Linked DNA regions of Alligator mississippiensis. Each later gene encodes a partner of the first gene's protein in a complex. Links are inferred from orthologs where the notes say so. Each region holds a gene or a part of one and is shown on either strand. Other genes may lie near its edges. The genes, in order: MCM2, GINS3, GINS2 and DONSON.

The links.
Region 2: MCM2 (region 1) and GINS3 share a complex: the UniProt entries of both Homo sapiens proteins name them as parts of the CMG helicase complex. The link is inferred for Alligator mississippiensis from reciprocal best matches to the Homo sapiens genes MCM2 and GINS3.
Region 3: MCM2 (region 1) and GINS2 share a complex: the UniProt entries of both Homo sapiens proteins name them as parts of the CMG helicase complex. The link is inferred for Alligator mississippiensis from reciprocal best matches to the Homo sapiens genes MCM2 and GINS2.
Region 4: MCM2 (region 1) and DONSON share a complex: the UniProt entries of both Homo sapiens proteins name them as parts of the replisome complex. The link is inferred for Alligator mississippiensis from reciprocal best matches to the Homo sapiens genes MCM2 and DONSON.

What each region holds. Positions count from the first base shown.
Region 1 is NC_081835.1:18,792,413-18,799,691, reverse strand, and holds the start of MCM2 (DNA replication licensing factor MCM2), read right to left. Parts: upstream 3,005-7,279; 5' UTR 3,000-3,004; coding exon 2,907-2,999; intron 2,382-2,906; coding exon 2,194-2,381; intron 1,436-2,193; coding exon 1,260-1,435; intron 1-1,259. UniProt on the Homo sapiens protein: Acts as a component of the MCM2-7 complex (MCM complex) which is the replicative helicase essential for 'once per cell cycle' DNA replication initiation and elongation in eukaryotic cells.
Region 2 is NC_081833.1:38,890,153-38,897,388, forward strand, and holds the start of GINS3 (DNA replication complex GINS protein PSF3), read left to right. Parts: upstream 1-4,217; 5' UTR 4,218-4,329; coding exon 4,330-4,509; intron 4,510-5,097; coding exon 5,098-5,331; intron 5,332-6,646; coding exon 6,647-6,877; 3' UTR 6,878-7,236. UniProt on the Homo sapiens protein: Required for correct functioning of the GINS complex, a complex that plays an essential role in the initiation of DNA replication, and progression of DNA replication forks.
Region 3 is NC_081833.1:73,711,709-73,719,048, forward strand, and holds the start of GINS2 (DNA replication complex GINS protein PSF2), read left to right. Parts: upstream 1-4,332; 5' UTR 4,333-4,378; coding exon 4,379-4,468; intron 4,469-4,888; coding exon 4,889-5,003; intron 5,004-5,782; coding exon 5,783-5,882; intron 5,883-6,919; coding exon 6,920-7,046; intron 7,047-7,340. UniProt on the Homo sapiens protein: Required for correct functioning of the GINS complex, a complex that plays an essential role in the initiation of DNA replication, and progression of DNA replication forks.
Region 4 is NC_081824.1:292,312,998-292,320,440, reverse strand, and holds the start of DONSON (protein downstream neighbor of Son), read left to right. Parts: upstream 1-4,439; 5' UTR 4,440-4,485; coding exon 4,486-4,743; intron 4,744-5,488; coding exon 5,489-5,566; intron 5,567-7,443. UniProt on the Homo sapiens protein: Replisome component that maintains genome stability by protecting stalled or damaged replication forks.

The DNA.
Region 1 (7,279 bases):
CAGATGACACTAAGATGTGGGGAGAAGTGGACATGCTAGAAGGGAGGGACAGGCTGTAATTGGATCTGGACAGGTTACAGAGGTGGGCAGATGAGAACAGGATGGGTTTCAATACGGACAAGTGCAAGGTGTTGCACCTGGGGAAGATGAACCAGCAGCATACCTACAGGCTGGGGAACTCCCTTCTTGTCAGTGAAGAGGCAGAAAAGGATCTTGGTGTCACTATTGATTTCAAGATGAACATGGGCTGCCAATGTGGGGATGCAGTCAGGAAGGCTAACCATACCTTGTCACGCATGCATAGATGCAACACAAGCAGGTCCAAGGAGGTGATCCTCCCCTTCTATATGACATTGGTCAGGCCCCAATTGGAGTACCGCGTCCAGTTCTGGGCGCCGCACTTCAAGAAGGACATGAACAGCATCAAGAGGGTCCAGAGGAGGGCCACTTGCATGATTAGGGGGCAGCAGGGCAGACCCTATGAGGAAAGGCTATGGGACCTGAACATGTTCAGACTCTACAAAAGAAGGCTGAGAGGGGATCTGATGGTTGTCTATAAACTGGCCAAGGGAGACCAGCAGGCAATGGGAGAGTCCCTGTTCCCCCGAGCACTGCCGGGGTTAACAAAAAACAACGGCCATAAGTTGACTGAAAGCAAATTCAGGCTAGATATCAGGAGGCGCTACTTCACTGTCAGGGTGGCTAGGAGCTGGAACCAACTTCCAAGGGAAGTGGTGTTCGCCCCTACCCTGGGGTCTTCAAAAGGAGGCTAGACAGCCACCTTGCTGGGGTCATTTGAGCCCAGCATCCTTTCCTGCCCAAGGCAGGGGGTTGGACTTGATCTGCTTAGGTCCCTTCTGACCCTGCCACCTATGAAACTATGGTGTCTCTGGCAGATGCCAGGCTCACCCCGCCATAATTATGCTACTGAGTCTCAGCAGTCTGCCCGGCACTTACTGGGTCCAAGCCCCTGTCCTGACATGGCCTGGAAGCCACAGCATTTGAACTCTGCTGCAACCACAGACCTGCATGAGCCAGGAGAGCGCTGTTAGTCTGGGAGCACCCAACATACCCAGCTGCAAAGAGACAATACTTAGTGAAGCTCAGGTAAGCCCACTGCTCCCTTAAAACCTAGACACTCTACAAGCCATAGGTGGTCTAGGGCCATCATGGCAACCAGGCCATTGGGTAAAAGACCAGATCCTTCTGGAGGGGTAGGCTAAGGCAGTCAGTGATGTAAAAGCACATATGGGAGTTACCATAAAGCAGTCCCCTCCTCATGCGGCCCAGGCCACGATCCAGGTCATGGTCCCTCTGCCTCATTGCCCGCTCGGCTGCCTCCCGCTGGCTGGCTGTCAGCTCCTCCACATCCTCGTCGTCCAAAGCCAGGCCCTCAGCTTCATAGACATCCAGCTCTGGAATGGCACGGTAGTCCCTAGGCACATAGAGATCTCATTTAACCAGTGATGCACTTAGCCACATGGAAGAGTTTCCCCTATCACATTATGGGAAACAGAGGTGGTGTCAGGGAGACTTCAGTCCAGACAGAAAAACTCTTGGTGAACAGAACCTCATTCTACACAAAAAGATGCTCCGTGTTAATAAAAGCAAAGGCTGGATGCTACGATCACTAAAGCCGACACACAAAGCTTGAATGAATAGCGTATGCAGCTGTTGGCTGCTGGACCTGTAGTTGGTTGTACTTGTTTTTCTAACCTAGTAGCCAAAGGATTGTTTTTGCAGAACAAAATCTGAACTTTATGCTCACACAAGCAAGTAAATAACCCTGAGCTGAACCACACTCAGTCCTAGGAAGTGACCTGCAGGTTTATCCACACAACTTCACCCACCGACTTCACAGGCAGCCCCCCCGGTATCCCAGACAATGGCACAAGACTTATATCCATCACCACTGTCTTGTGGCCCCTCTGCTATGCCCACTCTAGGCACCGGTGCAGCAGACAAAGTCCACATTTCCGATGCCCCATGACAGGTGCTTTAGAAACACAGCTGGGGGTACTGAAGGATGCTTAGAGCAGGACCAGGCAGAGGACAAAGAGGCACTACCCGTGCAGTGGCCCATGGCAGGAGCCGACTCAATGCCTTAGAGATAAGCAATAACCTGCCCTGCCAAGGCCCTGCTCACACACAGCAGCCATCAACGACCGAGGGCTGCCCCTGGGCTTCCCCTACCTTTCCATCCCGTCCCCAATGAGCTCTTCCCCTTCGTCCTCCTCTTCAGGGCCCCCCTCGGTCCCCAAGAGCCCTTCAGACTCATCCTCAAAGGGCGGCAGGTCCCGGCCGGGGCTGGACGTGAAGGCATCTCCACGGCGCGAGCTGCGGGCCGGACTGGTGGCCACGTTCTGCGACTCGGACGAATCCTGCAGGGGACAGAGAGTCGGGTCAGAGGCCAGTGGAGGAAGGGGCCAGGGCTGCTCGGGGAGGCAGTGTCACCTGGATCAGCACCCCCACAGGGGACGGGAGAGCTCCCCGAGCAGGGAGGGGGCACCAGCGCACTCACCCCTACGGGCAGACCAGCGTGTGGGTGTGCACATGCGTGTGCTCACGTGTCACCCACCCCACAGAGCCAGGGGACCCAGTTGGGGGGGGGGACATCCCTATTTCCCCATGGAGACCCCCCCATGCAAAGCCCCAGAGAGGCAGACTCCAAAGCCCCTTATAGGCCGTCTCTGCCCCACGCAGGGCCCGGGCGGGTGCGGGGCGGGCGGGCAGGGGCTCCACTCCCCAGCGCTGCCTTCTGGGCACCGGGACCCCGGCCCCCGATCCGGATCCCACCGCAAGGACCAGAGCACAGGAGCCCGAGCCCCAATCCACTCCCAGTGCCAGCCCCGCTTTCAACCCCCAACCCCAACCCCAGGGCAGGGCAGGCTCCGGCCGCTGCTCACCGCCATCCCCGCCGCTGCCCGGAGCCTCCTTGCCCTGCCGGATTCCGCGGGAAACGAGCACCACGTGGGCAGCAAAAGCGCGCGAAACCTCATGCATAATTAACGACCCCGATGCATATGCATGAGCGCCGCCCCCTGTCGCGCCTGCGCGGCGAGCTCCGCTGAGCGCTGCCCCGCCCTTATCCCGGGATAGGACTGTTCCTGTCCACGGCTTTGGAGCGCCTCTCTTGCCCCGGGGACAGCAGCAGCAGCAGGGGAAGAGCTCGTGCTACTAGGTTTCTTTTGTGTTTTGGGGAATGATAAAAAAGTCCCCAGAAGCCCCTGGGTTGCAAACAGTCCGAAATGGGGGGAGGTGCAGCTGCACCAATGCACCCGCTCCGGATCTGATTGCACCTTATTGCTCATGCCCTGTTTCTCCATCCTGCCGCCCACCCTCTTCCCTCAGGGCTTCGCATCCTACGTGGCCTGGCTGCCCGGGACACCTTTTGCTCGGGCATTGCAGCCACCAGCTGACAGATCTCCTGGGATTGCTTTTCTCTCCGCCCACATGCAGCAGGGCTCAGCCCCGCGCCCTGTGCACCCCCTGTCCGACCCTGCCAAGGGCCTTCTCATCCTTGGAGCTGATACATCCCAGACCGTCGAACCTCTGTGACGTGGAGATCCTGGTGCGGGTCTGCGTGAAGACAGTCTTTCCCTGGATCAAATTGGTTCGGCTTCCCTCCATTGGGTTTAGTTCACGGACTGGAGCCGCACAGCAGAACAAACCCTGGATGGGTGGGTACGAGTCTGCGTGTAGCGGGGAGTTCCCATTCACGGCTCTCTGGGGCAGCCCTGCCCTTCGGCCATGTCTGTCAGGAGACGGGAGCCTCCATAGCCGTTCAGCACGGGAATGTAGTTTAGGGCAGGAAGTAGAGTCCTTTATCCAGTAAAAATTTGCAGAAGGTGTTTAGGGAGACAGGACATCACTTATCCCTGCATTGATTAGAGAGGCTAGGCCAGGGATGGGCAAAATACACCGCATGGGCCAGATTTGGCCCGCGGAGGGACTTTGTCCAGAGCATGGTGAGTCCCTCAGTCCTGCCTGGCCCAGGTGCCATCCGGCCTGTGGCGTCCTTTGGGCATGCAGTAGGACTGGGGTGGCTCCAGCCTTCCTAGGCAGCCCATGCAGCAGTGGCTCCTTCTGGCTGCTGCCACCGCTGGCCCCAGCCCCATGGTACCAGTGGGGACCCGCGTGCGCAGCCCCGACCCTGGCCCACCTTGCGCCTGCTCTGGACTCGCCTGCCCACACTGTGCAGCGGCAGTAGCAGTAGCAGTAGCGGTGGCAGCTGGACAGAAGCTGCCGCTTGGTGCAGGGGAAAAGTGGCTACCTCCCCTTCGCTGTTGCTGGACCCTTCTTGCGCCTGGGTTGCCCTGTGGTTCCTCCACGCTGCCAGGGGAGACATGAGATGGGTTTACAAAATGCTGAATGGTGAAGAGAAAGTGAACAGGATGTATTGTTTACTCTCTCTCTTAAAATAAGAACTAGGGTTATAATATAAAAACTAATTGGTAGTAAATTTAATACTAACACAAGGAAGTTGTTTTTCACCCCGCATGTAATTTAAGTTTGGACCTCATTGCCACCAGATGCTGTGGAAGTTGACCGTTTAGTAGGCTGTATTTTGCCTGCGGGCTGGCTCCAGCCCAACAGGCCATTCTATCTGGCTTGCGGGACCCCTCCAAAAAACAATTATTACCAGCCCGCAGCTGCCCCTCTGAAAGCCAGAGGGAGATGCGAGCTTTCAGAAGTGGGTTCTGTGCCTCCACCTCCGTGGGGCTCCCAGCACTCCAGCTGGGAGCCCCATGTGGAGGCACTGAACATGATGGTGTGTGACTGGGCAGCTCTTGAGTAGGAAGGGGAGCGGGGGAGGCATGGGTCTCCCTCACATGCCTTCCCCCTTCCCCATCATGGTGCACAGCTCCCACCAATTTTGATAGCAGTGGGCAGCAGGCCCTCGGAGCACTCATGGCCCATGGCAGGTGCTCTGAGCCCCTGGCACTGAGCCGGTCCACTGGTAGGGGCCTTCAAGCCAGACCAGGCTGGCTCTGTGCCAGCACATGGGGCTTCCAGCACTGCAGGTGGGAGCTATGCGCCATCAGATGATCTTGGCCAGTTTCATGCCTCCACGTGGGGCTTCCAGGACTCCAGTAGGGAGCCGCACGTGGAAGCACAGAGCCTGGCCAGCCCAATGGCATGGGACTCCCCCACAAACTCCCCACAGCTCTTAGTCCTCGCACCATAGGGCTGGGTAGGCTCTGTGCTTCCACATGTGGCTCCCAGCTCTCCTCCCAGGAGCAGTGTGCCATTGGGCCAGCCGGCTGGCTCTGTGCCAGCACCTATGGGTCCTGGCACTGAAGCTGGGAGCACGCACAGCTGGGCCAGGCTGGCTCCATGCCTTCACGTGTGGCTCCCCACTGGAGTGCTGGAAGCCCCACATGGAGGCACAGAGCTGGCCTGGTCCAGGCTGATAATGCAGCTCCTGCCTGCAGTGCCAGAAGCCCCATGTACTGGCATGGAGCCAGCCTGCTTTGGCACAAAGGCATGTGCCATTGGTCCGAGCCAGGCAGGTTCTGTGCTGCCACCTGCAGCTCTCGGGACTCAGCCAGAGCCACGTGCTGCCAGGGGGCTCTGCTTGCCATGGGCCATGAGTGCCCTGAGAGCCTGCTGCTGTTGCTGCTGCCTGGAGGAGCTGTATGCTGGGGGGGAGGAGTGCGGGGGGAGGACCTACACCCTCCCACAAACCTGACACCTCCCATCTCCCCACAAACCCCACACCCCCCCCACAGACCCTCCTACAAACACACTCACAACCTTCACAGCCGCCCCCCACAAACCCCACACCCACCCATACACACATCCACACCTTTTCACAAACCCCTCATTCACACACACACACACACACACAGGCCTTTAAGTGGCTCGGTTTGGGCAGTCAGTTTTGACGTGGCTGGAGTGTTTGGTTGCCCTAAGTGAGACTAGGAATTGGGTGTCTCCTGTCATCCTGGGCAACTGGCCAGAATCCAGCTGAGATCCGCTGTCACCAGCTAGGAGTTATCTGGTGGCTGGTGTGAGCTGGGTTTGGTGAGCTCAGTTCAACACCTAGCAGACTAGTGAGCATCTCTGGAAAAATCCCACCATGACTTCAGGAACTGGTAGTCAGTCCCAGCAGAGGGCAAGGACTGAAGGAGCTGTAGAGGAGGCTGAAGATGAAGTTCGGTTGCCTTGTCCTGAAGATAGGAAGCTTCCAGATCACCCCTCTAAATCCCACCCCCAATACCCACTCCCCCAACCACATCCCTCCCACACAGATTATACAAGAGTAAGACTTTATTTGGAGCTATTATGCAGTCACCTCTATATACACTATGCAAACACCCATTCATGAGGAGAAAAATATTTTTTGTAATAAAATTAAAATATGTTATATTTAGGGTTTCCATGTTTCCAGTTTCAAAAAAGAGGACACCTGTTGGGGAGCGGGGGCAGGTAATATGATTGTTCAGGGCAGGCAGTGATATGCCGGTGCCCTGCCCTTTCCCCTCACTCCCAAGCCACAGCCCCCCAGCCCTGCCAGTGTGTCTCACTCTTGATCTGCAGCCCTATGGCCCCCCAGCTCTGCAGCATCTCCCAGCTGTCCCACCCCTGCAAGCACAGGCACCAGTCCCAGTGCCGCCAGCCTGGCCATACAGCTCCCTGCTGTCCCCAGAGGACCCCCTTCCCCTGCTGGAGGGGCAGTTGCTCTCCCTGTCCTGCCACAGCCCCATTGCCCAGACACTGTGCTTCCCCCGGTGCCAGCAGGCACCCCACTCACACCCATCCCCTCCACAAACCTCTGCCACACGTGTGTGCACACACACACACAGAACCCCCCAGACAGTCCCCAAGCCCTGGCCCTCCAACCCCTGCCCCCACAGACTTACCTGCATGCAGCTGCCAGGGCTGGTCCTACTATCACTTGATGCCTCTGCCTCCAATCTCCCTTCCCCTGCTCCTTCCAGCCCCAAGTAGCTCTTTGCTAGGGCAAGATGGGAAGTGCCAGGAAAAACATTGATCCTGAGCAGAGTAAAATCCCGGGCATTTTTTGGTATTTTAAAAAAACATTGAGACAGAGATGGGAGAATCCAAAAGGAGGACATGTCCAGAAAACCCAAATGTATGGTAACCCTGTTATAGTAGATGTTTGATTTTTACTATATGATTTTTTTTCTGGTTCTAATATGGTATCCCCCACCTCCCAAAAGGAGTACTTCTGGGGGCAAGGAGTGGGACTTCCAGTGGCAAAAGTCAGGGGTTAGGAGTGGGGCTTCCAATCTCAAGATGGCAATTAGGTGGC
Region 2 (7,236 bases), on another chromosome or scaffold:
ATTGCATATTTATTAAACAATGTGGTTTGGAAGGCAAGGGTGATTGATTGTATATGCTTTTAAGTCCTGGAATTCATGGTCACGACTCACTCATAGCAGTTCAGAGCAAGTCCCAGTACAATACCTCACCCATCTTGGGAGGGAAAACTGCATGAAAGGAGACCTCTGTTTTAGCATCTGATTTCCTTACAATGATCACAAAAGCACACCTTTCAGAGCAATCCCACAATTAGTGCAAGGAGGTTCTCTGGGGTAATATGATTCCTTTATCTTTGTATTTGCCCTGTATCTGTTTCTCTGGGTCATCTTGTCTCACTTCTGTATCACTCACATCAGGCTGAGGCATGTCAGGATTGATCAAAATATTAATTTTCTTTTTTCTCTTTACAGCCATTTTGTATTTGCACCCTATAAAAGAGATTATTTCATTTGTACACACAGCTCCTTTTACAAGCTCTACAAACTTGCATTTTCAGCTCAGAGACTTTGCTCTTAACATTTGATTCAACAAAATTATCTTTATTATTCCTGTCTTATAAATTGCAGTCGTCATCCAAAACTGCCCTTAAAAAGGTCTCTTGAAAATTGTTATTCTTTTGCAAAATAGAAACGGATGGAGATACCTTTTTTCCCAGAAAAATCTCTCTCCCTTATCCAAAACAAACAAAAAAGACCCAAAATGATGTTTAAGATTTCTAACTGAGAAGGTCAATAACATAACATGAGAAGGTCAATTTCTGTCTTTCTTCTGAGCAAGAATTTAAGGTTTTATCCATTGTACAGGAATATTGATTCCTGTACAATGGATAAAACCTTAAATTCTTGCTCAGAAGAAAGACAGAAATTGACCTTCTCATGTTATGTGAATTTTTTTTCAGATTCATGTTTCCGTCCTTCAGTTGCACACTGCACTGTTGGAAAGATTTAATGTACCTGATTAATGGGAAAAAGGGACTTTCTAAAAACAGCAGTGTGGGTGTTATATTTGCATATACATATATTTCTCCTCCTTGGTCTCTGTCCTTTCTTACTCAGCTACCTAACAAATCAAGTTAATCTGGATTCTTATCTTTTTAGCATGCTGAAGTTCATAAAATGTGTTATTCTTTCACCTAGGTATGAGTTTTATACAGTGACTATCACAGTGGTATCTAAGTAATGACTATATAAACCAAATATATATTCTTATACCACACCTTAATCCCACGTTATGTACTTAAAAGAAAAATGTTTAATGAGATATTATTTGCATAAAATAAATAGTTCAAGATTTAACAAACTGTTCCAAATGTGGTTGTGTTTATAAACAGCTGATTTAAAAAAAATACTAGAACTCCATTGTGGGAATAACACAGAAAAAACAAAATCAGAGCAAACTGAAAACACCTTGAGCAGAAGGCAAGATGAGGAATGTTGTGAACAGGGAACTAAAGAAATAACATTGCCTTGTGATTTAGTCATAAGCTGCAAAATGTCTGCCTTTACATTTTCTCCAGCTGAACAAAATGAATTTTTAAAAGGACTTTAGATTGGATAGCTGAGAAGGTTCAAGCATAGATTTTAAGTTGGTAAATGCAATTGCTGATTTCCCCCCTCATGCAATAATCACACATTCTTGATACAATTACAGAGTGCTGTACAGATTTCTGTTATTATGTTTCCATGTAAGACCAAGAGGTCTACAGAAGTTCAAACTTTTGCACAAAAAAGGGAGAAAATAATATGTTCAAACCTCTAACTACAATGTTCTCCATATTGTTTTTCTGCTTAAACTAGTTTCAGACTGTCTTGGGCTCTCACTCTTAGACTCTGGTGACTAAAGTAAAGGTCGGGTGGAATTTTCAAGAGTACTTACAGGTTTCCCTCACCAACCGCTGGGGTTAGGTTCCTGAAAGTTCCTGTGGTTTGCAAGTGTGGCTGGCAAGACAAAAGGCTTATGGGGAAAATGCCAGGTGGCAGGCTGATGTGCGGCCATGGAAAACCATGGTTACTCAAAACTGGCTACTATGGTAGCCAAAATAGTATATAGAATATTAAGCGTGGGTAGTCAAAACCATGGTTGGTAAAACCGTGGTTGGCAAGGGAAACCTGTATGTGAATTATGTCCCAAGTTGAAATGACAGCTGTTTATCGACACTTTTCAAAACTCAACCCCCTACCTGTGTAATCTTGAACCACCTGCCAGTATGTCTTTGACTGGAAGCAAAAGAAGCAAGTTTTCAGTCTTCTGGTTAAGATTATCCCTTTTTTTTTTTTAATCATAAAAAATAGTGGGAATGATCCAAGCACCATTTCTGTTGGGCTTTCCCAAAACCACCAGTTTCTTTCAGTCTTACTCAACACTTTTTATGACCAGAGATTGTAAAACATAGCTAAACCATGACACAAGGGAAATAAAACTTTACCAGAAGTTTTGAAAAGCTGTTGTTTTATAGGTTCTTGTGCTTAGAAACAGTGTGGGGTTTATTTTTATTTTCAGCATACACAGTTCGAGGGAGAGTGAACAGGATTTAATTAAATAAATAACAAATGAATTCCCAAACAGGGAAACAAAATTGAAAACATTTTAATATTTACGATCAAGCTACAAAAGGACACTAAATGTCAGTCTATTCCTGGTTACACAGGTAAAATTGCAAGTAATTTCACTATAAACCTTATCAGAAGGGGGGGAGGCAACATGCACCCTGGCAGAGCAGCCTCCCTGGATGTGTGCAAGTGCCCCATGTGCTGAAGGACACAGCAGTTTGGAGCCAGGCAGGCTGCCAGGAGAGAGCTCCACAGTCAGGGCTCTTCCCCTAAGCACCCCTTTCAACAAGAGCACACCCGCTGTCTTCAACAGGAGATGGCTGGGAGCCAGCAGGGAGCATAATGTGGAAGGGCCAAGCTCTTGTGCTAACCAGCTCCACCAGGCTCTGACTCAGGCTTCCATGTGGTCTGGCTCTGGGTGAATCTGGACGTGCTGAGGCAAGGCTTCCTCAGGCTGATCATTTGATGGGACCAACTAGTAACTGGGGTGCAGTCAGACAAGGGGCTCTTCCTGAGAGCACTAAGGGTGCATAAGCAAGGCTCTGCCCTTGTCCCAGCTGAGTGATCAGAATTTGTCTAAATCAGTGGTCACCAACCAGTGGATCTCGATCCACCAGTAGATCTCGGAGCCTCTTGGAGTGGATCTGAGGCTAGGGTGGGGGGGGCTAAGTGCCTGCATGCATGTATGTATCCCTGCCCAGCAGGTCAGTCCATGGGGGAGGGAAGAGGTAGGGGCTAGATTAAAGCCCCTGTGGTGAGGAACAGTGCTGCAGAGGCAGGAGTAGGGGTAAGTTGAATGAGTGCCCAGCTGGGTGGGACTTACTTGCTGGGGAGGCACATCCCCAAATAATTTTTTTCTCCCTCGCCTTGATCTGCCCCCCCATTTCCTCCCCACAGACTTACCTGCTGCGGGGAGCAGGAGGGGGTGGCAGCACATGGTAGATCTTGGATTGCTCTTAAATGCCAAAGGTGATCTATTTAAAAAGGTTGGAGACCACTGGTCTAGATCCTGTGAGCTATCCCCAACAGCCGGTGTCTTGGGGCAGACCCGGTAGGGGGTGCCCAGGCCTGGGGCTCAGGGCCTCTTCTTTTCCCACCCCAGGGGCCGCTCGGAGGTTAGGACTGTCTAGTAGGCTGCATGCAGGCATGGGACCAGCAGGGCTCTGGATGACCCTGCACGAGTATGCCTGCGTCATAGTTGTTGCCCGGTGATGTGTGGTCATGACATCACGGCTCCATCACCAGACCCGCTAAGGTCAGTCTGCAGATCGCGACATCAGGTCCCACTGTGCGAGGTCAGCACGGCATCCAGCCAATGACCGTGCAGAGGGAGGGCCGTGGGACGCCACACGCAGGTCCCGGCTCCCTCCGCCCCGCACTCACCGCGGGGGGCGCCGCCGCGCAGGCCCCGCTCCCGCCGCCAACGCCTGCGGGCAGTTACCGGCCGCCCACGCGCACCCCTCCCCCGCGTCTCGTGGTTTCTCTGCTGCCGCCAAGCCTACGTCACAGCGTGCGAGGCCGAGCGCGCCCCCTGGGGGCGGGGCGCGGCGCAGGCGTAGTAAGCGCGACGCTCGGCCGCCGCCGCGGGGCCTTCTCGCCTTCAGCACCAGCACTGCTGGACGGCGCCGCGGCCGGAGATCGAGCCTGTCCGCTCGGCCATCGATTGTTTCGGCCTGGCGACTGCCAGCCCACTAAAAGCGGGCGGCAGTTGCACATGCGCACTGGCGCGCTCGGGCCGCGGCTGCTGCTTGGCGGGCGCCGCGCGGAAGCCGGTGTGGGTTGGTGACTGGAGGGCCCACCATGTCGGAGGCGTATTTCCCGGTGGGGCCCGGATTGGGCCCCGAGGAGAACTTCTTGTCTCTGGACGACATCCTCATGTCCCAGGAGAAGCTGCCGAGCCGCGCCGAGGCCGCACTGCCCCGATTGGCCGCCGTGCTGGGCAAGGGCGCGGGCGCCGGCCAGGGCGACTGCCTCCCTGAGGTAACCCCACGGGACTACAGCTCCCGGCAGTCTCGGTGGCGCGAGGCATGCTGGGAGTGTGGGCCGATGCTCGGCGGGGCATGCCGGGAGCTGTACTCTCCTTTGGCGGGAGAACGGAGTGGTGCGCTGCCCCTCCCCCCCACGTAGTGTCACCCGGGGCCGGGGCCGGGGCCGGGGCCGGGGCGTTAGGGAGCGGGAGCCGCAGGCTGCGCGGCCTGAGCCCAGTGTGCGTTCGTCTACACATACATGCTGCTGTTTCCGTGACTCGGTTCTTTGGCTTTCCCCGACTTTTAAGCACCAGTGTTTGCAGCCCCCTTTTGTAGAATTCTTTACTTATGACTTTGTTTCGCTCACGCCACAGTGTGTTTTGTGCCACCTGATTTGATTCTTACTGTTATCAAAAAAAAAAAAAAATTGTGGTTAGAGCCCAAAATAAAAATCCTGATTCTACAGGCACCTGGTAGCTTGCCTGTGAAAGTCATTCATTGTGAACCTTCAGTAGGTGTCTGAGTCTTGTTTTTATTCATCATCCTGATCAGAATTGACTCCTGACTTTGTGGGGATGCCCTTTCTGTCCTGTGCATGCAGGGCTCCAAGCTGGAAATCCCCCTGTGGCTGGCGAAAGGGCTATATGACCACAAGCGGAGGATACTTTCTGTGGAGTTGCCAAAGACCTACAAGGAAGGCTGGAGGACAGTGTTCAGTGCAGATGCCAATGTGGTCGACCTGCATAAAATGGGGCCGTACTACTATGGATTTGGCTTCCAGCTCTTGAATTTTGACAATCCAGAGAATCCAGAGATAGCTCAGACCATACTGCAGGCAAGTATTTGAACCAAGTGAAATCAATCACTGAGATACTACCCTTTTCCTTGACATCTCTTCTATCCTTCCATCCACTTTGTCATAGTTGGGGATATATATATCCTTTTCTACTCAATTTGATGTGGGCTAGAAGGACTTCAAGACCTGGCCCTTTCATCTACAATGAGTATGTATCATTTTTTTGATTAAATGAATTGAAGCCTCATGTCTGCATTCACAGCTAAATTTGGTTAAATGAGTTTTGAGCAAGGAATGACCAGGTGCTTTGTTGCTTGTCTTTTAATAACAGAAAAAACAAAACATTTAACATTCTGTTCTACCGTTGTAAGGCCACAGCAATAGGAGAGCCTGTCTTGGATAGCCTGACACTAAGAAACTAATAGTCAAGAAAGTATAGTTAAAATGAGTGAATAAAAACATAAAGATCTTGTTGAGATTTTGACATTCTCTGTTTAGCATTTGTAAAGAACCAAAATACCAAAGTAAACCATGTAAAAAATAAGTGTACTAGTAATAATAAAACCTTGTCATATTTTTTTTAAAAGCTTTGTTTCCCCAATATCCTTAAGCACACTTTCCAAAGTTGTCAGGAACTTTAACTCTTCCCTTTTTGAATCTGGTTATATTTAGCTTTTATTTAAAAAAGGTTTTCCCCCTTGCTACAAAGGAATAAGTCCCTATTGCTTACCATTTTAAATTTGTTGTTATGTTCTCTGGGTGTTGTTTAGGTTTCCTAATTGTTTTATCGGTGCCCAAAGTGCTTTGAAGGCAGAGGGAGGTCAGCGTTTGAGAAATTCATTTAACTGTAGTGATGCTGCCTTTATAAAAGGGAGCTCATTTTTAGGGGGAAAAAAATCTAAATTGCTTTATGGTAGCATGATCTGTAACTAGCTACAGACTTATCTCACCTGCTCTAAAATCAATGGCTTCATACACAGGGACTGAAACAAAATTCATTGTATTGTGTTTTGTAGAAGGTCAGGACTAACCAGTAAAAGGCAATAGTGACACCTGACCAATTTAATTCCTTGAAAGTAGAGTGCAGTGGGCATACATATACAACACATGGTCTGGAAAGCATGTAACCTTTCCCCACCCCTATCTTAGGAAAATAAAGCTTATCTTTGAGTAGGAGGTTAATGGAAGCTGAGTACCAACAGTTAGATGCTAGTCCAGAACCAACTGTTGGCTGCTCAAATATAGACACCATAGGGTGCAAAACCCTGAACCTGTTAGCCCCAGAGCATAAGTCTAGCATTTGACCTCAAGGAGACTCTTCCCTGAGTCACTGACAATTCTTTATCTTCCTTAGACATTTATTAACCGTTTTCGCCGCATCATGGACTCCTCCCAAAATACCTACAACGAAGACACCTCTACATTAGTGGCACGGCTGGATGAGCTGGAACGAGCCTTATTTCAAGCTGGCCAGAAAGGGCTGAATGACTTCCAGTGCTGGGAGAAGGGGCAGGCTTCTCAGATCACAGCTTCCAGCCTCGTCCAGAATTATGGGAAGAGAAAATTCACTGACATGGATCACTGAAAGCATGAAGGACACAAAACCAACATAAGGGACACTGCAAGATTTATATTCTGTGTCACTGAAAAGAAAGACCAACTAACCTTGGAAAAGGGACACATTTTCCTTCTCTTTGGGTAACTGAACTTCTGAGCAGCTCTAATCTTCAGATTAAGCCAAAGCACATTGCAGAGGAAGAGGGAAGGTACAGTGACAACAGATTGCATTGCAGAATTGTTTAACAGCACACACACACTTCTCCCAATGATTTATGGTAATTACTTTGGGCTGCATGGCTCAGTGCAGGTGAGAGGCTCTTCTGAAAGAGGGTCGTTAATATTTGCTACTTTTTATCATGTAAATAGAATGTCATTCTTTTACCA
Region 3 (7,340 bases), on another chromosome or scaffold:
GGAGATGTCCCGGGGCAGGCTGCTCCAGTGCTTAACAACCCTCTACATTAGAAAGCCCTTCCCAATATCTAACCTAAATCTTCCTCGGTGTAGTTTTAGACAATTTCTTGTCCTAACCCCTGTGACAACCCCTAAAGGAGCCCTGGATAGATGGCAGCCCACTGCGTAACTCTTTGGAGCAAAAAGGCATCACGGGTACCCCAAGGCAGGGGATGTAGAACAGCAGCAGTGTGCCTTTGAGCTGGGGAAAGCCTGCAGGCTGAGGAAGCAGCATTATCAGCAGCCAAGCTGGCTCCTGAATTAAAGGTCAGGATGAATGTGTGACAGAAGGTGCTTATCAGGCACAGACATCTCCAGGCCTACCAGCCTTTGCAGGGCTGCCCCTGCCTACCACCAGTTAACCAGCAGGAACCAGGTTCAGGCTGCAATGGCAGGTTTAAACAGGTTCATGGAGACCCAGGTGGATATGAAGACCTGAACAGCCTCCCTTTCTCCCTTTACACACAGAAGGCTATTTGCACAGGAGGCATGTGAAAGCCGGCTTCAGGGGTGTGGAAGGGAAGTGCAAATCAAGCTGTTGTGGCATTTGAGGCTGGAAATGGACCCGAAACTGAACTTCACCAGTGAACGATGGAGCATTTCAAAGGTAGAGACAGGCTGCTTGCTCTTCCAGCTGTTTCAACCAGCCTGTCTGGCTTTTCTACGTGATGAAGCTGCTGGGCCTGAGAGAGGAGCCCTTCAGAGACTTGTCTGCATTAGGGGTTTTTGTGCTGTCTTTTTCTCTCCCTGCAGAGGGTCGGCCAGGATGCAATGGGTTTAAACTGTAGCAAAGCAGGTTGAGACGAAATTTCAGAGAAAAGTGTCATTACTGTCGGAACATCAGGACAGCGGTGCAAACTGCTGGGGGAGGCTGTAGCATCTCCATCCTTGGAAATTTTCAGGAAGGGGATGGATAAGCATTTAATACGGATGGTTTAGGAAGAGCGCATTGTGCCTCTGTGCTGGGGGCTGGACTGGATGACCCCGGAGGTCCTATTCAATTCGATCAGTCTATTATTTTCCCAGGAGCAGCCACTTTGATGAGCATTTCCAACTGCAGACATCTCTCTTGGTCTATTTCTGGAGGAGCAGAGCAGTTCAGTGCTTTCATTATGGGGTCTAATGAAGGGCAGGGGCTGCTATGAATTCCAATCTTGGTTGCTGCCGTGGAGCGAGCTCGACCTGCTGGCACAAATCTACTGCACTGGTATATAGCAAGGGAGCTGGGAATGCCTTAAGTCCCACTAAAACCTGGTTTTAATAGCCCTCTTCAGCAGAGTGTATTTAGAGCTAGCAGAACCCAGGGCAATGCTTACCCAGCAGATTTCTCGTGTCACGGAGATGACAAGATTTGCTCCTGTAAGACAGCTGTTGTTTTTTTTTTTAAGCTGTCAAGATCAGAGCTGCTCAAAACCTGCGGATCACAGACACTGATGGTTTGCCTGACGCGGCTGCTTTTTGCTTCCGGGGGAATTTGAAGCCCAAGATCTGGAATATAACAGGGGAATTTGCACCTCCCGAGTTATGTTCCAGATTTTGGGCTTCAGACTGAGAAATGTCAAAAACCCAGCTCAGGTGACATGAGGCAGTTCTGGCGCTGAAAGCAGGACTCTTGCACTAGAAATGGTGGCGAGGTGGTAGAAAAACAGCTAGCAAAGGTTTCCAAAACCACATTCATGTCCCGAATTTGTGCTGCCAGCTTCCCCAAATGTAAACACTCACAGTGGTCAGTGTCTCTCCTAAAACTGAGCTCCTGGAGTCATGAGACTGCTCAGTTTCCCTTTGAAACCCATGGGATGTTTTTAACCCTCCTAGTAGTGGATAAAATCTGGACAAATGTGAGGTCTGAAGTCTCAAAAGCTAGAGGGGGAATAACAAGGACTGCAATAAGATATTTGTGAAAAACCTTTTCATTTTCAATTGATGCTCAAGATTTAAAGGGGACCAGGTAAGGATGTTTTCCAAGTGGGTGATCCCACTGACTCCAAGCTAGGCAATAATTGGTGCCTTTGATGTTCACCAGGGATGCAAAGAGGTGAATAGGGGTGGAAATCTAAATTGCCTTCACCCCTCCAGAGGTAGCTACCAGCCCTTCTACTCCTCATGTTATTGCTGTTCTGCCAATATGCAGAGTTGCCCCCCAGAGTCACCCGTCTGGCACTTCTCACAAACACAAAACTCACTTAATTAAAAAAAGAAAGGGTGTGGGATAGGGAAGCCATTTGGGAGCCATAACAGATTAATCAATACAAATCAATCAATAGGAACTATTGGCAGCTGCCGCTGGGAAGACAGCACTTAGATTTGAGGGTTGTTTTTTTTTTATGGACGGGTAAAGTGGAGAGAGAGGAAATCAGATCCAGACATAACAAGGCCTTTGAATGACAGCCGGAAAATAGGATTATTATCATCACCGCAACTTGGGTACTATCATTTTCCTTTTTTATTCATGCAATGCAGAGTGGTTTGAGTCTCAATTCTAGAGGCCCCGATCTGAGCAAGAGAGTGGTTTGGGGCAGGGATGAGATGGCAAGAGGAAAGAAAAGGGCTCCCTGGGAAAGACTTTTTTGGGGGGTGGAGGGGTGACGGGGACTATACGCCGCATTCGGAGCCTTTTTATTTATCCTGTTGCATCGGGGTTGCTGCCCGTGCTGGGACAAGCTGGAGGCAAGGCAAAGAAATAGATGGTGTTTTGAACAGGATCACAAAAACACACCATTAAATAGACCTGTCACTGCTAATATTGTTTGAAGGCTTTCTGTTTCCATGACGACCTGACATCCTAACAGCCTGGCTGACGGCACTCTAAATCACTCCTGGATAAAAGCTTTTATTTTATTCCCCCCCCCCCCGTGCATAACTTTGGACATTAACATCTTCGATGTGTCTTGACGGGTTTTTGTTGCTGTTGTTATGCTTCATCTTAAATCCGTCCCGGTAGCTGAGTGTTTGGGGGTGGCTTGTCTTTTTAATTAACAAGCAACGTCTGGGTCAGAGGTAGAAAAATACCTCTTGCGAACACTTCTGGGCTGTAATGCCTGCACAATGCTCAACAGTGGTTCGGCAGATGGGTTGCTGTTTGTCAAGCTGATCCGTGTCAACGCCTTGTGTCCCCATTTACTCCACACACCTGGCTGTTGTGCCCACCTGTTGCCTATGGGCTTGCACTTGGATGATCAGCTTCGTGCCACGTATTTGGAAGAGGCACAGGCGGCAGGGCCTTGGCCTCTACCAGGGCCGCACACGGGCACGGGCGGACAGAAAGGGGGCCTGAAAACGGTCATTTTAATTATCGTTATTAGCGTTACCTCTGGCGAAGCGGGGTTTGATACTAAAAGTTCGCCCCAGGGCCGCCAGGAGTCTCGGTACGGTGCCTTGACCGCTCGTAATAAATACTACGAATACATTCATGAATTAAAGTCCACCCTCTCTGACCCTAGGCCAGGCCGCTGTGGGAAAAACCAGGGAACAACGTTGCAAAGCTGCGGTTAAACAAACACAAGGCGCGTCTACACGTTCACTAATGCGCAGTAGTTTAGTCCTCGCTTCATGGAGGACAGGCAACCCCCCCCCCCCCCCCCCTTGGTGCTCATCCGCTACAGCGCTCGTTTTAAACGGATACAATTAGCACTCGGCGAGTCTCGTTATAATGCTCAGGTCGTTAAAAACTCTCGCGGTCGCCGTGTCGGATGGTTAAAAAAAATTTGGAGAGTCCCCCCCCACAACCTCCCGCCAGCCGGGGGGGGGGGGGGGGGGGGGGCACCTTTTAGCCACATTTGGGGACACCCTCCAGACAGGATTGGTGTGATATGGCCGTGAGGGCGGAGGCGTGACAGACCCCCCCCCCATAATGAATTGGGCTAACCTAATTAATTGGGTTAATTGCTGGCATGGAGGGGGACTCAAGCCCCCCACCACTCCTCAGGCTGAGGAGATGTGGGGGTGCTTCCCCCCCCGGAGGACTCTCCCCTGAAGTACAAGGTCTATGACACATGGCGGGTGGAGAGGAGGGAAGCACCATGGCAACTCCCGCGCCTTCTCCACACTTCGCCCCGCCCGCGCGCCCAGGGAGAGCGCTGATTGGTCGATGCCTCCTCAGGGAGAGCCGCGATTAGCTGGAAGGCTCCCCGGCCCCGCCCTCAGAAGCCGCGCCTCAGCCAATCCTCGAGCGCAGGAGGGAGCCAACCCGCGGGCACCGCGCGAGACAAGCAGCCAATCGGGGGCGCTTTGGGGTTGGAGTCCAAGGGAGGGGGCGGGGCTTCCCGCGCGGCCAGCCAATAGGAGGGGCTCCCCGGGCGGTTCCGGTTCCGGTACCGGTTCCGCCCGCCCGGCGCCGGGAATGGACCCGGCCGAGGCCGAGTTCCTGGCCGAGAAGGAGCTGGTCACCGTCGTGCCCAACTTCAGCCTGGACCGCATCTACCTCATCGGGGTGCGCCGGGCCCGGGCTTGTGGGAGGGGCCAGACGGGGCGCCAGAAGAGAGGGGGCGGGGAAGTGTGGGCGGGGCCAGGGGAGGGACAGGGCAGATTATGGGGGCGGGGCCAAACTCGCGGGAGGGACCAGAAGAGAGGGGGCGGGGCCAGTCTTGGGGGAGGAAAAGGGGCGGAGTCAGAGGGCGGGGTGGATTAGGGGCGGGGCCAGAGGGAGGCATTTTGGGGGCGGGCCTTGTGAGAGGGGCCAGAGGGGAGGGGTTGAGACAATGAGGGACAGAGGAGGTGGGAGAGGTCAGCTGGGAGGGCGTGGCCAGAGGGGTGGGCGTGGCCAGCAGGGATATTGAGGGGTCCCCCCCCTCCCAGGGGTGCCCTAGCAGGGCCTGGCCCCAAGCAGCCCCTGACCCTGTGGCTCTTGCAGGGAGATCTGGGTCCCTTTAACCCAGGGCTGCCCGTGGAGGTGCCGCTCTGGCTGGCCATTAACCTGAAGCAGAGGCAGAAGTGTCGCCTGATCCCTCCCGCATGGATGGACGTGGGTAAGGAGACCGCCCGCTCCGAGCTGGGAGCTGGTCCGTGGGGACGTCCTGCAACGCTCCTTCCCCTCCTTTAATGGGGAAATCCCTGGAGCGAGTGAAGGGGGCGCAGGGCCAGCCCCATCCTCGCTCCCTGTGCCTTGCTTTGGGAAGATGGGGATGCCACCTGCTTTCCTGAGCACCATCGCTGGCGTGTCGCGGGCTCGGGCGTTAATTGCTCCGTCACCTCCCTGTAGCACCTTCCCCGCGGGCTGCGTCCCGAGGGAAGGGTGCCTGTGGAGCGCGGAGGCGCTCTCATTTACTCGGGATCGTGCGATCCCGCGGGGCATCGGGAATAGAAGCAGCCCTGACACCACGCAGCAATGTTGCTGGGTGGAATAAGGGCCTGAGCTCCCTCCGGTTCAGCCAGCGTGCGGCTGAGAGCAGGGACAGGGACGGTGCCTCGGTGCTGCTCCTCTCGCTGTCCGACCTCCCTCTGCGCTCCCGAGGGCACAGAATTGATGAGCCAAGATCAACTTGGCAGAAAGGTCCCCTTGAGGCCTTCTCCCAGCATGCGGAGCTGACTGCCAGTGCCTCTTGCCCTCGTTTTGGGTTGAAGGGAGTTACTTTCTGCCTGATGAGCTAGGGCTCCCATGGTAAAGCTGCCAAGGGTACCAGGACAGTCTCCCCTCTTGCAGGAGCCGTCTCCACCTGGTCCAAGGGGGCTGCTTCTGCTGGGAGGAGATAAATCCAGAGCTGTGGAGCATCTGGCAAAAGCCTGACTGTCCCCAAATGTGTTTCAGAAAAGCTGGAGGCCATCCGGGATCAGGAGCGCAAGGAGGACACCTTTACCCCGATGCCCAGTCCCTACTACATGGAGCTCACCAAGCTGCTCTTAAACCAGTAAGTCGCTTCCTTGTGGCCAGGTGGAAGTACTTTCTTCCCTGGGGAAATACCCAGGAATATGATGCTGAAAAACTAGTGAGGTTATAGGGGATGGAGTTGCAGACCCACAGGGAAGCGTCCTACGCAGAGCACGTCAGGGTTTTGCTAGAGCACTCGGTTTATCGCAGCCGTTGGATCTGTTCACCCGGTGTCACTGGTTACGAAGTCTGATCAGGGCTCCCGTGCTCTGTCGAGGGGCGGCTGAGTGTACTGACCTTGGGCGGAGAGGCCACACGCTCTGGCTTTGTGCAGACCCTCGATTGCTGCCGGAGGCCCAGCAGCCTAATCCTTCCCAGTCTGCTGCCTTCGTGCTGTCCTTTCCTAGCCCGGTACACGCAGGTCAGGGATATCCCATGCAGGACTCGCGTCCCCTGAAACATTTCCATTGCACACAGTCTGCTGGCCAGTAATTTACTGAGCACAGACTCTTCTCTCCTCAAGCCCCTGCTCACGGTCACTTGAAGCACTAATTGCTTCCTCCTGAGATCTCAGCAGATCCCATCATTGCATTACAATAACCTGTGGCTGTGTTCGTGTGAGCTGCTTGGATCTCTGGAGGTCTGTGGGGCTGTGCCAATGGGTCCAGCTCACTTGGTCCCAAAAGCTGTGGGGTCGGTAATGAGAGCACAGTGCCGACCTCTAGCTCTCATCACAGCCAAGCCATTTAAATTGGCTGTTTCTGTGTGGCTTTGGCCAGGTTATTGTACCTCCTTGGCCTCAGACCAGCTGGGCTCTCACAGAGCAGAAGGACTATGCTGCCAACCAGATGCTGCTGCAGAGTTCAGATTTCCTGGGTAAATAAACGATCCTGAAAAAGCCCCGGCAGCAGCAGCACCAGCTTGGCTTTTAGTGCTGAGTTCCTTTTTTTTTTCATAAAGCAAACTGCTCTGCTTATGCCTCCGAGGTTTGAGAAGCTGCCAACATGACTTATGCCAGTGACTTAATGTATTAGTCCCTTGCAGCCTGTTCTGATCCGCGCTCTCCTCCTCCTCCAGCGCCTCAGACAACATCCCAAGAGCAGATGAAATCCGAACGCTGGTGAAGGATACCTGGGACACGCGCATCGCAAAGCTGCGGCTGTCTGCGGACAGCTTCGTCAGGCAGCAGGAAGCCCATGCCAAGGTACGGGGTGGACCGATAGGCTTGCTAGTCCCTTCCACGGGTGGCCAAGGTGCACTGTGATTGTGCAGGTCTTTGGCCGATCAGAGCCACAGACAGACGTGCCAGGAGTGGCTCTTTCTCCCGCTGCAATAGGAGCATCTGTCAGTCAAGAACTAAAGCCATATGCTTAAGCTTCCGTTTACGGCCAGGCTGCAGCTCCGTTTGCATGATGACAGCGGCACCGTTGTCACGTTCCTCTCTGCTGGGCCTGCCCCTTGGGATGCAGCCAGAGGGCATATGCACCTCTTCATTGTT
Region 4 (7,443 bases), on another chromosome or scaffold:
CTTGCAGATAACAACAGTTGCAGGAAACATGTATTCAATAAGCTACAGGTGGAATACCCCTAACCTAACCATCTCTTGGTTTCTTTTTCAGCTGAATTAGTTAAGAAATTAATCTAATTTATTTTATCTGTTGAGTTTTATAAACTCCTGTTTACATTTTTAAATTAGTCTGAAGTTGTTAGTATGGTCTTAAGTAGGATGTTTTTCATGAAAGTTTAGGCATACCTAATTTACTGCTAGGGTATTTATACACATGCTCCAGGAGTGGGGTGGGAGGTGCTTTAATTAAAGCAATCTTACTGACATAAAAGTCTCAAAACAGGGTGAGGAATCCAAGCAGGATCCTTCAACTTTCTATACAGGCAGATATTCCCTGAAGGCAAGATTAGAAATCAAGGTGGCAAAGCCCTTTGGAAGTAAAGGGACTAATTTAAGATCCCTTTTTTTTTTTTTTTTTTTTAATCTTGGCATAAAGCCACACTGAAGATAAGGTAGAGTTGCAGCTTAAGGGTGCGTATGCATGAGCAAGAGTCTCAGTAATAAGTGGCAGGCTCTAAAGTGCCTGGAACATCTCATGCATCAGCGTCTCTGTTCAATGAGCTTTAGATAAAATACCTCTGCCACCATTTGGAAATGTGGGGACACACATGAGACGCAGGATGCTGCTGGAGCACAGTAATTGCCACGCTCCAATGCACTAGACTTACAGCCTGTCAGAGCAGCCTCCCTGCCAGTGTATAGGCACCATTAAGGTGCAACTCTTAAAGTGCTTTACCACCTTGGTGTCTAATCTTGCCTTCAGGGAGTATCTGCCTCTAGAGGAAGTTGAAGGGTCCTGCTTGGATTCCTCAGCCTATTCTGAGCTTCTTATGTCAGTAACATTGCCAGGTATGAACTCAAAACCCATTGCAAGAGGCCTTGATTAGGCCTCCAAACATTTATTTCCTGAGGAGACTGTTTTGATTGCTTTCTGCTCTCAGACTGTTAGCAAGGTCTTATAGCTATTCTTGCATATCCCTCTAGTAACTTTAGATAGGAAATCCATATGCTTGGCCTCGTGGAATTATCCAGAGAGACATAAAAATAATTTGAGCTGTCTCATGGTTAATGACTACTTCTTGTCAATACAACACTTCTGCCATTCCTACTAGAGTGGAGTAGCTGCTTGTCCTAGAGTAATTAAGAGAAATGTAATATTGTAAAAAAAGACTTGGGTGTGAAAGGGCACTTCTCTGTCTTCTTCACATGAAACTTCTGCTCCCTTTAGCATGTGCCACTTTAATAAATCTGGAAGGCTAATGTATAAATAGATTATAATTAATGACTTTGATAACTCTTCAAATAATTGTTTTCTCTACTACTCATACCCATTTTTTTCTCAGCCATGAGTGAGCTGTCAATTGGAAACATTCCCTTGTATGTAGTCAAAGGTAGAGGGAAAACCTCACGTACCAAAAAAATTATGTAGGATATTAAAATTAGAGGGTATGAACTTTGTCTTCTTACATACATGAACATATAGATACTAGTATATTCTAGATCAGTGTTTCTTAACCTGTGGGTCATGAGAACATATAAAAGGGTCGTGAACAAACTTTAAAAATAGAGAAAATGTGGGAAACTCTGGCTTTTCCCTTGCGGGCTGTCAGAGTTCCAACTTGCAAGGGGCTGCTTGGGGACCCCCATGACTCCCATACCTTCCCCCTGCCTCACACTGTGGGGCTGGGGCCAGGGGATCAGGAGTGAGGGTCACTGGGTCAGCACTGGCCTTTAATGTTTGCAGATGGGTCCTGGCATAAAAAACGTTGAGAACCACTGATCTAGATATTAGCTGAGTGGAGCGTTATTTACTTCTCAGATTGTTTTGCATTTAATGATACCCATAGGAACAGCCTTAGTGGTCCTTCTCACCTTTGTGAGCTATTTTTGGCAACTGCTACTTTCCTGCTGTTCTGTCTGGCTGGAATTTTCCTTCTGAAGACCTTCATTGTGCCCTCTAGTCTTTTTTTTTCCCATCCTGTTTTGAGCATTTCTTAGACTCTCTCGAATGAGTTTGTAAAAAAATGACATGTTTGACATTACTTACAAAAGTTGCCTGTGCTGTTCTGAAGAAGAGGATTCCATGGCGCACACTTAGGGACCTTTTTCTCCCAGGGTCTGAACACCGGTCCTAGAGCACTCCCTTCTGGTAGAAAAGTATCACTGTACATAGAAATTATTGCTAGTTTAAAATTCCAGATTATAAAGGGAAATACTTTTCAAGAAAAATAATTTGAAATGACCCCCTTTGCTGATTAGTTTTTAGAGGAAAACTAATGAGTAAAGGAGGTGCAAATCTGGCTGTGCTATATGCTGAGTGGCTCAGGTATAAACGTGGGGGAAGTATGAGGTGCATCTCTGGGTGTATGTACCAGGGGGCAGGCATAGCTAAAATCCCCCAAGATCCCAGCTTGCGTGGCAGAATCCAGGTTTGCAGCTCTTTTTGGGTGGAATAGAGGAGGCAAGGATTTCTTAGGGTGAGATCTTTTATTGGACCAATGCTATAGCTGGGATAACAACTGGACAAGCTTTTGAATGCCAGGCATTCTTCCTCAGGTCTCAATGGAAAGCTTGTACTTGGGAGAATATTAGACAAGCTTCCCAATGAGACATGAGGAAAAGTGCTTTGCATTCAAAAACATGCCTGTTATCCCAGGTACAGAGTTGGTCCACTAAAGGATCTCACCCTAAGACATACTTGTCTCTGGCACAGTTGTGGCTGTACCATCACTTTTCAAGCTCAGGCTGTTCACTGGCTTTTATGGTATAAAGAAGTTTCTTGCTTAAGACCATAAGAGTTGCCATTTACTGGATGGTAGGAACAGGGTTTTTTTCCCCATGGTTCCTCTCACTTGCAGCCTCTAGCATTTAAGGTCTAGAAGCTCTGATTCAGAGGCTGAACCCCTCACTCCCATGCTCAGTAGCAGCCCATGCCCCTTTCCTTCAGCCATTGGTCCAAGCCCTGTTTGAATCTGGCTAAACTGCAGGCTTCCAGCACAGCTGGTGGCACAGAGCTCCACACTTGAATGATATACTCTGTGGGGGGAAAAAAAACTTCTTTCTGTTAAGTTTTAAACTGACTGCCTACTGGTTTCATGTTGGGACTCCTAGTTGTTGTCTGGGGGGAAAGAGCGGATCATAAATCCCCGTGTACTCTCTTCCCCCATTAGTATTTTGTTAACTGTTCTCATGTCCCACCTTCAAGTGTCTTTCTAAACTAACTGGTTCAGTTTCAGCTCATGTGGGAGCCCCTCTGTCCCACTGCACATCCTGGTTGCCCTTCTCTAGTGCACATGTGCCCCGGAGGGTTGCCAACCCTGTTTGACTCTATTCTGGGATGTTTCATCACATGATATAATGACATTACAGTGCAGACTTTAGGTCAGGAAGGCAAACGCACATTACTATTACATTTTAAAAACTCATTGGGCTCCTGTATAAATTGGATTCAACACTGAGTATTTAACGACTATTGTCTATCTGTGGGGTGACTCTCAGCAGTCTCTTGGAGATTTATCTCTAATTCCTGGGGACTCTAGGGCAATCCTGGAGTCAGTAACCCTGGTGATCCAGCCTTTCAGGCTGAAACCTTAGACTGGGAGACCTCCAGCCCTCACAGAGGGCCCAGCCGTTGCCCTGCATGAAGTGCCTGGGCATTAGTGCATACACACAAACTGACTTTCTGACAGCAAAGCGACTTTTTAAAGTTGACTTAACTGTCAGAGCGTACACACCTATGTGCAGCAGAGTTGACTTAAATGTGGCACCAGATAATATATCTCCAAAGGGGGTGTGTGTCCATGTGTGCCCCTACAGCATTCACTGTTACTTGCTGTATTAGGTAAGCGACTTAGCTCACAGTATGGCTGCCACAACCTCAGGGAGCTGTACGTGTGCGCGTTGCAGCCTGACTTAAGTGAATTTCATACATCTCATAGACATTAGGGGCTGAAAAGGACCTCCCGAAATCATGGGGGCCAGGCCTTTTGAAGTCTGCTGGGGTCAAACGATCCCAGCAGGATAAACAGCCAGCCGCCTTTTGAATGAGGCCGGAGACAGCGCTTGCCCCACCTCTGGGGGGAGTCTGTCCCTGGACACGGGCTGTGAAGCAGGTTCTCCTGATGCCCGGTCTAAATCCGCCTTCCAGAGGTGTGTAGACCTAGTGCTCCGTAGTTAAGCTCCCGGGTTTTTGGTGAAGTCGCCATTTTAAGTCGACTGAGGAGATGTGTGGGCACGGGACGAGCGGGGTGGGGGTCGCAGGAGTTGAGGCCGGTGGGGCCCGACGCGCAAGCCAGTGTCCCGGCTGCTGTGCCGGGTGCGGAGGCACAGGCCGCCCGCCTCCGCTGTGCGCGCAGCCCCGGCAGGCGGGAGGGCTGGGCGGGGCCGGCCGGTTTGCGCGCCAGATCTGCAGGGCGCTGCCCACAGGCGGTCCCGGCTCGCGCTGCAATGTGTGCCGCGGTGCCCGGCTACTCGCCCGGCTTCAAAAAGCCGCCGGAGATGCTGCGGCTGAAGCGGAAGAGGCTGCGGAGGAGCGAGGTCGCCGCGCCTGGGGCTGCCGCCGCCCGCAGCCCCGCCAGGGAGCCCGGCCCGCGCCCCTTCCCCGGCCGGCGCAACCCCTTCTCCAGCCTGGACAACGCGCCCCGCCCGGCCCCGGCCCCGCGGCGGCCGCCCCCCGGCGCCAGCACCCCGCACCCGCTGTGGCAGGTACCGGCGGTGTCGGTCTGCGTGCGGGTGCGAGACCTGGGGTGTAAGTTGTAGCCGTGTTGGTCTAAGGACGTAGGCAGACAAGGTTCCTTGCGTGAATTTGATATCTTTTATTAGACCAACCAGGTGTGAGTCCAGCACACGCAGGCACTGGGCCCCTCTGCTCTGCTGCCTCAGTCTGCCCGGCTCTCCCCGGGGCTCCAAGCCTCTGCCCACCCCGTGTGCGTGTTGGGGGCGGCATGCCTCCAGGCTGCCTCTCCTTTGTAAGCCTCGTGCTCAGGAGTCAGCACTCGTGGTGGAGGTGATCATCTTGTACTGGGCCAGCTACATTTTTTGCAAAAAGGAAAACAAATTGTTAATTGCAAGCTTTTGGGCACACGAGCCCTTCTTCTGGCATCGGGAAAAAAAAATGGAAGTTCTCCCAGGTAGATATAGGCGAGTTTCTTTGAGTAGATGTGATATCTTTTATTAGACCAACTGAATAGGTTGAAGAAAGAGGCTTTCGGAGTTCAAATTTTCCACTTTTCTGGCAAATGCTGAAAAAGCCTCTAAACTTCAGTGCATGGGTATGTAGAAAATGTCTTGTTAATGCTACCAGAGGGTGAAATGTTCTAGGGTGCGCTGCTGATGGTAGGTAGCTCTAAACATTTTTCTTGAAGTTTCACTTAAAAGTCAGCCTTGAAATGAAACTCAGTTCAGTTCAGTCCTTTTTTAAAAGTAACAGGTTTTTTTTCTTCTATTTTAGCTCTTGGATCCTCTTCAAGAAACTAAATCCACCTTGGAAGAAGAGTATTCTGAAGTAGATTTTCCCACATTAACAAAAGTATGAATCCTTAATTATTGCCTTTGGGTGTGTTTAATATTCCATCGTGCTCATAAGAACTTCATTTTTAATGTTTTTGGCTTTGGTTTCAATGTTGGGTCGATTTTATTAGAGCATAAACATTCTCAGAATTGATCTTAAACTGCCTTTGAAGCTCAGGGTCAGGTTGTCATCCACTAAAAACAGGCTTGCTGTTGTATTGGAACAGAAGAGGTTCTTTATAGTTTACCCACCTTGTGGCTCTTATGCTGTTCTGTATTGTTGGTTTCATTCTCTACTAACTAATCACTCACTCCCCCTGTTGTTATTTGTCTTTCATGCAGCAGAGAAGAAAAAAACACACACACAACCTTTACCAACTCTAACTAGGGTTAAGACAGGTGTGACTGACTTTTTGAGGCTGATTAGATTTTAGGCTAATAGAGCTGCTGCTTGAGAAAATGTAAGTTTAAGCCAACTCCTATTAAGGGATCAGGAAGAACCTTTCTCCAGGACAGCAGGCTATCGCATAGCTGCCTGCAAAATATTTCTTGCATTGGGTAATATTCAGTTGCTAGCAGTGATGACCAAATGAGATGGTGCTGGTCTGATTTGATATGGGAATTCCTACTTGCCTATTACCTTCTTGATAAGCTGGCTGAGGGCAACATCCTGAGGGACAACCAGCATGGGTTTGTCGCAGGTAGGTCTTGCCTGACCAATCTCATCTCCTATGACCAGGTGACCATATATCACCTGGACAAGGGAAAAGAGATTGACATCATATATCTGGGCTTTAAAAAAGCCTTTGATCTGGTGTCACATGATCTCCCCATGGAAAAATTGGCCAACTGCGGCCTTGGCTACATCACAGTCCGATGGCTGGGGAATTGGCTCCCAGGTTGGACCCAGAGAGTAGTGGTCGATGGTAGTGAATTATGGTGCTCCATGACCAGTGGTGTCCCCCAAGGCTCTGTCCTTGGACTGGTTTTCTTTAACATCTTTATCAACAATGTTGACAATGGTGTCAGAAGTGCTCTGGCCAAGTTTGCCAGTGACACTAAACTTCGGTGCATAGCATCCGTACTTGAGGACAGCTGGTGATCCAGGCCGACTTGGAAAAGCTTAGTAAGTGAGGAGATACAAACCTGATGACATTCAATACCGATAAATGCAAGGTACTCCACCAGGGAGTGGGGGGGAATGCAGCATGCTTATAGGCTTGGCAGTGCTATGCTCACTAGCACTACAGCTGAAAGACTTGGGGGTCGTGATTGACCACAAGATGAACATGAGCCACCAATGCGATGTCGCAGCTGGTAAAGCAAACAAAACTCTAGCTTGCATCTATAGCTGCTTCTCAAGTAAATCTCAGGATGTCATCCTCCCGCTGTACTCAGCCTTGGTGGGGCTGCACCTGGAGTACTGCATCCAATTCTGGGCTCAACAATTCAAGAAGGATGTTGAGAAGCTTGAGAGAGTCCAGAGGAGAGCCATACACATAATCAGAGGGCAAGAGATTAGGCCTTATGAAGAGAAGCTAAGGCTCTGTTCACCAGAGCGCCCCAAAGGACAGCAAGGACTAACGGTCATAAACTCCTCCAAGACCATTTTAGGCTGGACATAAGGAAACATTTCTTTACTGTCTGATCCCCCAAGGCCTGGAATAGACTCCCTCCAGAAGTGGTGCAGGCACCTACTTTGGACTCATTCAAGAAACGCTTGGATGCTTATCTTGCTGGGATCCTTTGACCCCAGCTGACTTCCTGCCCCTGGGGCAGGGGCTGGACTTGATGATCTTCAAGGTCCCTTCCAGCCCTAACGTCTATAAAATCTATGAAACGTTAATGTACACTTTAAAAAATAGTGAATAGGCATACTTCCAAAAGTCTCTTAAC